2 linked regions of the Macaca mulatta genome follow. The protein of the gene in region 2 purifies or fractionates together with the protein of the main gene of each other region. This does not show direct contact. Links are inferred from orthologs where the notes say so. Each region holds a gene or a part of one and is shown on either strand. Other genes may lie near its edges.

Evidence for each region.
Region 1: the proteins of CCDC68 (region 2) and CEP170 purify together in Homo sapiens (co-immunoprecipitation; 3 studies listed by BioGRID and IntAct, counting the BioPlex papers as one, with this or other methods). This does not show direct contact. The link is inferred for Macaca mulatta from reciprocal best matches to the Homo sapiens genes CCDC68 and CEP170.

The regions. Positions count from the first base shown.
Region 1 is NC_133406.1:5,953,049-5,956,870, reverse strand, and holds part of CEP170 (centrosomal protein of 170 kDa), read right to left. Parts: intron 1,005-3,822; coding exon 528-1,004; intron 1-527.
Region 2 is NC_133423.1:26,038,489-26,042,737, reverse strand, and holds the start of CCDC68 (coiled-coil domain-containing protein 68), read right to left. Parts: upstream 3,059-4,249; 5' UTR 2,909-3,058; exon of another isoform or gene 2,842-2,908; intron 1-2,841. UniProt on the Homo sapiens protein: Centriolar protein required for centriole subdistal appendage assembly and microtubule anchoring in interphase cells. Together with CCDC120, cooperate with subdistal appendage components ODF2, NIN and CEP170 for hierarchical subdistal appendage assembly.

The sequences.
Region 1 (3,822 bases), on a different chromosome or scaffold from region 2:
CAGATCCTACCAAATATTTCTAAACCAAAAACCTTTGTTTTATGAGTAACCACTGAGAATACTTTGAAGCACTCCCTTCAGTGATGTGACTGTATTATCCAAGTGGAACATTTGGCTCATACCAACTTAAAATGTCTTTCAGAATCTAGGTATTAATGATAATAGAGAACAGAATTGAACACAGCTTTTCCTTAAATCAAGAAAATGATGGAACTCATCTGCTAGGGAATCCTACTGGTGAACTTAACAAATTTTGTATTTCTAGAAGAAAAAGAAACATGTTTTACAGCATAAATATAAGTTCATAAAACCAATCTGGTTTTGTCAAGAAAATGAAGAAAGACTAATTTGAGCGAGGAAGTTGGACATGGGTGGTGTGGCTTCCTCTTGAGTTTTAAAATTAAATATAACCTTTGAAAAAAGCAGAATGTTTTCTACCATGTAAATATCTACTAGTAGTATAGTAACTGCAGACTGGATTTTCTTTATCATAAAATAGGAAGTTCTGAATGATCAAATCACTTTACCTTTCAACCTTTTCAAGTACACTGGAACATCACTTTTAATGCTTTTAGAATCCTCTTCTGTTCTTTCCCATAGCATTTGAGGAGGGTTGTTTTGTGCTAGCCAGTCAGCGACTTTGTTTTCGGGCGCCATCATTCCTGTTTGAATCCCCGGCAAGTCCTGAGTTCCAGGAGAAGACTTCTTGGACTTGTGGCGCTGATCAGAAGTAAACTTTGTCACATGGTCTCTAATAGTTACCTTCCCTGGGGTACTGTCATCAAATTCAATGGTAAATGAAGCATGCCCTGCACCTGTTATATGGGAACTTGGTGTGTCTTTTGTTGGGATTTCATGAATAGTGCTTTCTGTTATTTGTGATGGTTGCTGGAATTCTTTTGTAGGGATTTCAAAATAACTTGGTTCCCTACAGAAAGGAAAAAGTACTTCTTCATTTGCAGCTGCAGATTGTTCCTCAACTTGCTTGGCATCTATGCTGCACCCTAATGAGAAAAATAAGAGAAAATTCAAAATATTTGATTGCTTCTGGCACTTGAAGGAGTCTGGTAATGGCCATGTGTACTACTCCGTGAGAACTAGAAGGCAGATCACAGTCTGGATGAAAACCAATGGCATTTATATTACAGAACAAATGTCATAGAGAAAAAAGAATCTTGATTATAAACATGCTATTTGATTACCAACAGGGGATGCAAGATAAGCAGCAGCAATGGCAAATGAGAGCAAAGCAGGTAAGAAATGGATCTTGCATGGCTAAGTCCATATTTTTTCCAACTTGGATCTAGAATTCATTAAGGTCCAAAAGAATTAAAATAAAATGTAGATGGAGATGCATGTTCAATGTATACATAAAAAGTGACAGAAAAACTATGAACTTCCTTCTCAAGTCACCAAGATGAGATATGTAGCACATGTAGTGCTTCAAAGGAGAACAGGTACTCAAATGAGAATATAAACATGAAGTAAATATGTAAGTGATCTTCTGGAAGTAATGATTCCACTTACCATTCTTCACCACTACATTCAGAAACATTACTTTCAGAATGACAAAGATATTGCTGAAGTGCGATCCTTGCAAGAAGATACAAACTTTTTATAAAGACTAAAACATGTGGTTTGCAATCCAAGCAGCAGTGTGAAAGAAATAAGGTTAAAATGGGAAATTCAGTTTCCAGACAATGACTCTGGAAGAAAATCAGTTTACTTTTCTATACAGCAGAATATGCAAAAGTGTCAAAAATTCTTGGAGGAAAGCTGAATTGTAAACCTCAGATTAACATTAGTTGGCAGAAGGAGCAAGTAACTCTGGAACACTATCACTACTCTTCTATCGCCTCAGAGTCTAATACAACAGTCTAAAAACAGATGCATTTATGAATAAAATACATGAATAAAATGCATTTATGAATAAATGAAAATGACAACTAAAATGTTTTTGGCATGTTATTAGGTAGTGCAAATGCAAAAGAAAAAAATTAAAGATGATATTGTCCTGTTGTTGAAGAAGCAAAGCATGTCCATTATCAAGATGAAGAGCAAGTTCAAATGAGATATATTTCCCTAAAGCTTGAAAATAAACTCTGCTTTTAAACAGATTAATAGAAAAATCATTTACAGACAATTTATTAGGAAAACAAGGCAATACAGGGAGACCAGGCTGTTTCCAAACATTTTCTAAGTAAGTGAAGCATCTGATCTTTTGAAACATCTTTTCAAAGATTAAATTTTAGTGGGATCTGTCAGGTACTATAATTGGTTTCTTGACAGCAGTCTGAATATGAAATAATAAGAAACCTGACTGCTTTTAGGTTACAGAAGAATGATATAGTAACATCCCTTTTCGTAATCAAATGTGTGGGGTAGGGCACTGAAGACAACAAACTCCATTTTCACAATAAACATAGTAATAATAAAGTGTCAAAAAAATCTAAATAGAAGGCAAGGAGAACATGTAATATGAAAGATTATAATTTTCACTGTAAAAAATTACCCTTTTAAAATCTACTCAGTTTTCCTATCACTGAACATGAAAGAATAGTATTGGAAAAACTCTACATTATCAGAGAAATAATCATACATTTATATGACACGACCTAAAGTTTTAAAAAAGTTTGATTAAATAAAGAGTTAATTTATCTTTTTCTTAAAAATAAAATGTTCAGCTGGACTTTTGAGTGTTTACTCTGAAGTCATGTTAGTTAAAATTTCCATTAGAATAAAATATTAACTACTCCTCATATATTAATAGTTCATTAATGTTATTTTTCTATTTTTTCAGACAGTGATTTTTTTTAACTATGTACAATGTACTGTACTTGATCATAAACTTGTTCATAAACCTGTCCTCTCTCCCTCCCCCCATACAGACATATACATATAGTTTGTTTTTGCTTTGCTCATCCTTCAGGTGACAGAACAAGGTTAAGATGGTAGTTTCTAATACCACTACACAGAGAGCCAAGTCAAACTGACCCACTACACAGGGAGCCAAATAAAATTGATGTGGCTCAGCTATGAAGCAAGTAACACAAAAAAGCTGGCCAGGGATATAGCACTTATCAACCACTTGTTGCTCATGATTCAAAGGAATATTATCTCAATTTTCCTCCCTTGCAAAAAAAGTTCACATGCTAACATTGACATGTTTCAACATGTTTCATGCATTAAGACAGCTGAGATCAACAACTGCACTGCATTGTTTTGGAGGTTACCATTCCCAAGTTAGTACTACTTCAAACTCGCACTTACTCAAAGCTAGAAACTTGAGACTTACACAAGTTAATAACTAATTCATCTAGAAATCAAGCACCTAACCATGTCACGCAGCACAACAGAGTGGAAAGGCAGCATGTTATGATCTGATGATCACAACCAGGCAGCCGGTTTCGTGCAAAGCCCAGACAAGATCTGAAATCACATAAATCTTATCTCTAATCAGTCTGCAATCCTCATTTTCCTCATCATAAAGTGAGAAAACACTATCTTCCCGTAAGATTGTTGTGAAGATTTAGTGGGATGAGTATTAAGTGAGATCATGTAAGTTACCCAGAACAAAGCAGATATGCAAATAAATGCTTCTCCCTCAACTTTCAAAAACAGCTGAGAATCAGGAAGACAAAAAGCTAATACCAAAATCTAACTTTAAAAAACCCAAGACAGATATGACAATGCCTATCCTTAAGTATTCATAAACTTTACTAACAGTTAAGATCTTCACTGAGAGATTTTTACTATTTACTCAGATCACATGTAGCAAATCTTGGGCAGGGTACAAAAAGTGAGGATTAAGGACAGACAGAC
Region 2 (4,249 bases):
TGGCTCACATCAGTTATTCTCACATTATGCTACCATGGAAGCTGCACCAACGTATCTGTTTTACCATGCAAATGTAATTGCATAAACGTCTACTAAATGGTGAACAAAATGTGGCATAGCCATGGCATGGAATAAACCCTAGTCAAGCAATAAAAAGGAACCAACTACAGATACATGTGACAACCTGAATAAATCTCAACAACTATTCTAACTGAAAAAAGCCAGATGCTAAAGACTATATATTGTACGATTCCATCTGTATGAAATGTCCAGAAAAGGCAGATCTAAACAGACACAATAGACTAGGGGTTGTCTGGGGCTGGGGTAAGAATGGTGAGTGATTGCAAACAGGTCCCAGGGATGTTTGAGGAATGATGACATGATATAAAATTGGATTGTGCTTATGGTTGCACCATTCAATAAATTTACCAAAAATCATTGAAACACTTAGATATATTTCATGGTACGTAAATTATATCTCCAATAAAGCTGTTAAAAAAAAAAAACAGAAGGAAAAGTAAGAATAACTTGAATAAAGAGGCTGTTTTCCTCCAGGGGGAAAATCTAATTATAGTCATATTTTTCTAATTTATAGCAAAAAAATAATTTAATGGATAGATTTTTTTTCCGTTTTAAATTTTTTGTTTATTAATTTTTGTCTCTAGATTATTGTGATCCATACTACAAGTTTAGTTTTTATTTAATTTGCATGAAATTGATACTTAGCTATTTTAAGTTAATATTTCATAGCATTAAGCCTGAAACACATGATTCCTAAGTTCTTCCCCAACCTAAACAAAAGAGAAAACCACTGACTAGAATAACACACAAGCTCCTCTATCATTTTTAGATTTGACTATTTAAATCAATTTAAGGAAATATGTGATTCGAAACTAATCTGGTTTCAGTCACGGTCGAAATTGAATGGATCATTGTGGTCTGTAAATCTATGGCCTTGACTTGGGGTGGCCTGGAGGACTCCAATGTAGTCAATTCCAGGAGGACAGAACTGTGTCTTATTTACACAGGGCTGTGTTTGGCCCAGACCTTCTTCCCCTCCCATCTGGTTCTCTCACACAGAACACAGTGCCCTCAATAAATATTGTTTTAGTGATTACATGAATAGGCCCACAAATTTACAGATGCACCAAATAGTTTCTAAAACTGAATGTACACACACACACACACACACACACACACACAATCTCTCTCTCTCTCTCGTTTTCCAAACCCACATAAATGGCTGTTTTTGAATGTCATTTTAGTAAATGACATTCATTTAAACATGTTAGTAAATTCATGGTAAAATTTTGCCATTATGAAATATTTTCAGTCAATAAATAGCCATATAATTTTGATGTAAATATCTCAGTTCAAAAGATGAGAAACTACTACTTTAAAAGACTTTTACATTCCCACCAAAATCTTCAGTTATTTCCCTTTCAGTCATTATTCCAAGCAAACATACACCTCATTTTTCAGCTTTGTCTAAATTTAGCTTACGTTTTTTAGCTTTGGCCAAAATTTGGATTACAACTCACCTTCAGTGTTGAGCACACTATAAACAAATAAGCTAACAAATAACATGCCTATCCGTAATTCACAAAATAGCATCAGTATTAATTTCAAAAGTCTCTTTCTAGTTAGGACAAGGGATCAATTTATTTTGTAAATAGCAAGAGGTAAGAACCTTCTTATGACGTTGGCCTTGTGACGTCAGCCCGGGTCCCAGGAAGTATAGTTGTTTTCATTCTTTCTGTAAACATTTGAGGAACCACACGGGGACACTCCCTGCCTTGGGCAGAAATTCCTCTGTGTCAAGGGCCTTCACTCAAACTGGGAGTGCGGTGGAGAAGGGGGTGGGCAGCAGGGGAAAAGCGTAACAACAGCACCAATTGTGTCTGCCAGGGTACCTGACACTCCTGCCCAGCTCACATTTCAGGAAAACCGGACTTCAGTAGCTCTGAATATTTAATAGCATTAGGTAAAATCAAAAGGACAGATTATCTCCTCTCTATCACAAACACAGAATAATTCCTTTTTGTATTCTGACACTTCATCCGATCTATATACACCAAGAAAGTAAAAGAGGTTTTGATTCCTAAAATAAAACAATTAGAATATAATGGGGAACAGACGCAGCTTCAGTTAGCTTCAGGGCTTGTTGCTTTTTCTGATCCTTATATTCAATTTTGTCTTCACTTCCAAAAAGGCTGAAAATTCACAGCTATGTTATCATCCAGTCTAAAAACTACACCTGCACGGTCCCATACTAGTCTTTAGTAAGGTAAGTGTTCCTTTGTCTAGCTGCCTAGCACTCTGTAACTTCCAGCTCTAAAATCTCATGATGCCTACTCAACATGCAGGAAACGGTCAAGCAATGGGCTGTTCTTTTAACTACACCTGCAGCTGCGGAAGCCCGGACAAATGAATGAAGACAGCCACCCTCATTCATCTCTGCTGTTTAAAAAATACGAGCGCAGTGACCTGTCAAAGTCACCACGCTGGAGTTCCCAGGTCAGGGCGTTTACCGCAGGACTTTTCTCCACAGCCTCTGAAATTAGCAGGCAGAAATCGCGGGGACCCCTGACAAACGGATTGTATAACAACAACCTAAATAAATAATCAGGTGTGCGCCGGGTTAAGTAGGGGTTCCTCTCTGCGGAAAAAAAGTAACTCTTCCCAGTGGAGAAGAAACTTCTCGCCCAGGAAATTCGAGCCCAGAACCTAGATTTTCAGGAAGGATTACCTCTTCACCAAGGACCCTTTTACAGGAAATGTCTTTGATGCCAGGAGCTCCGCTGGGGAAGCCGCTGGAAAGACACCTGGACACCCACATACCTGGAGGGGATGCGGGGGCGCGCCGCAGGGACCGGGCCCGAAGATCCCTACCTTCGGACTCGCCTACCTTGGGGGGCGCCCAGCCGGCACGGGGTCCCGGTGCTGCTCCTCCCCTGGGTGATCGGGCCCTGGGGCCAGGGTCGGTTGCCAGGGTCCTGGGAGTGCAGCCGCCACCGCCCGCAGGTTTGGCTCCGCCCCGCGGGGCGCGCCCAGGGCAGAGTCCGGCGCCGGTGAGGCTCCGGGGAGGAGTCGCGGCTGGACGCGCCCGCCCATCGCGGGAGAGCCAGGCTGTGACCCTCACACCCCTCGCTAGGGTGCTGTACAGGCGGGTTGGGGGAGGGGATCGGCTGCTGCTTTTCAAGAAGTTTCTATTTGCACCCTAAGTTTATAAACTTTTTTGTTTTTTAAATAATCTTTGATTTTATTGTTTTTAGTATAAATTTATGGCGTACAAGTGCATTTTTTTTTTGTTTTTTTTTAAAAAACTTTCTTTTGGAACTCAAAAAAGTTGCAAAGATAGTAGAGAGAGTCCTCTATATACCCCTCAGTCGGTGTCTCCTAATGCCTACAGCTTCGACAACCATGGCACATTTGTCAAAACTAAGAAATTCTCACTGGGCCCGGAACGGTGGCTCACGCCTTGTAATCTCAGCATTTTGAGAGGCCAAGGCAGGCAGGAGGATCGCTTGAGCTCAGAAGTTCGAGACCAGCCTGGGCAACACAGCGAGACCTCATTTCTACTAAAAATATTTTTTAAAAGAAATTAACATTGATCTGCCACTATTAACACTACTCCAGACTTGATGTAGCTGTCACTAGCTTTTAGGCTAACCCCTTTCCCTTTCAGGATCCCGGCCGGGATACCATGCTGCATTTAACTTCCTGTGTCTTTTGTCTCCTCTAATTCATAATAGTTTCTCTGTCTTTTCTTGACTTCGACAGCTGTAAGGAATTCTAGTAAAGTATTGTGATAAAGTATTCTGGTAAGGTATAGTTTTGTGGGGGTACCTCGACACCCACTCATATGGGTGTTGTCTACTGTTTTCTTCTCATGATGAGACTTGGGGGAGGAAAGCCTCAGAGATGAAGTGCCTTCCCATCTCATCCTCTCAGGGATGATGGCACGATGGCCACGTGACTTATCACTGGTGACTTGACCTTGATCCCTTAGTTAAGGTTGTGTCTGCCAGGTTTATCTACTGCAAAGCTGTTTTTCTCTTTCCATACACTCTACTCTGAATGGCATGACTCCATTCAACCCACACTCAAGATGAGGGCAAGATTAAACTCCATCCCAGAGGATGGAGTATCCATATATTATTATTTAGAATTATTCTGTAAGGAAGATTTGTTCCATCTCTCTTGTTTACTCAATCATTTATTTCAGTATTTGTTATGTCAATATGGA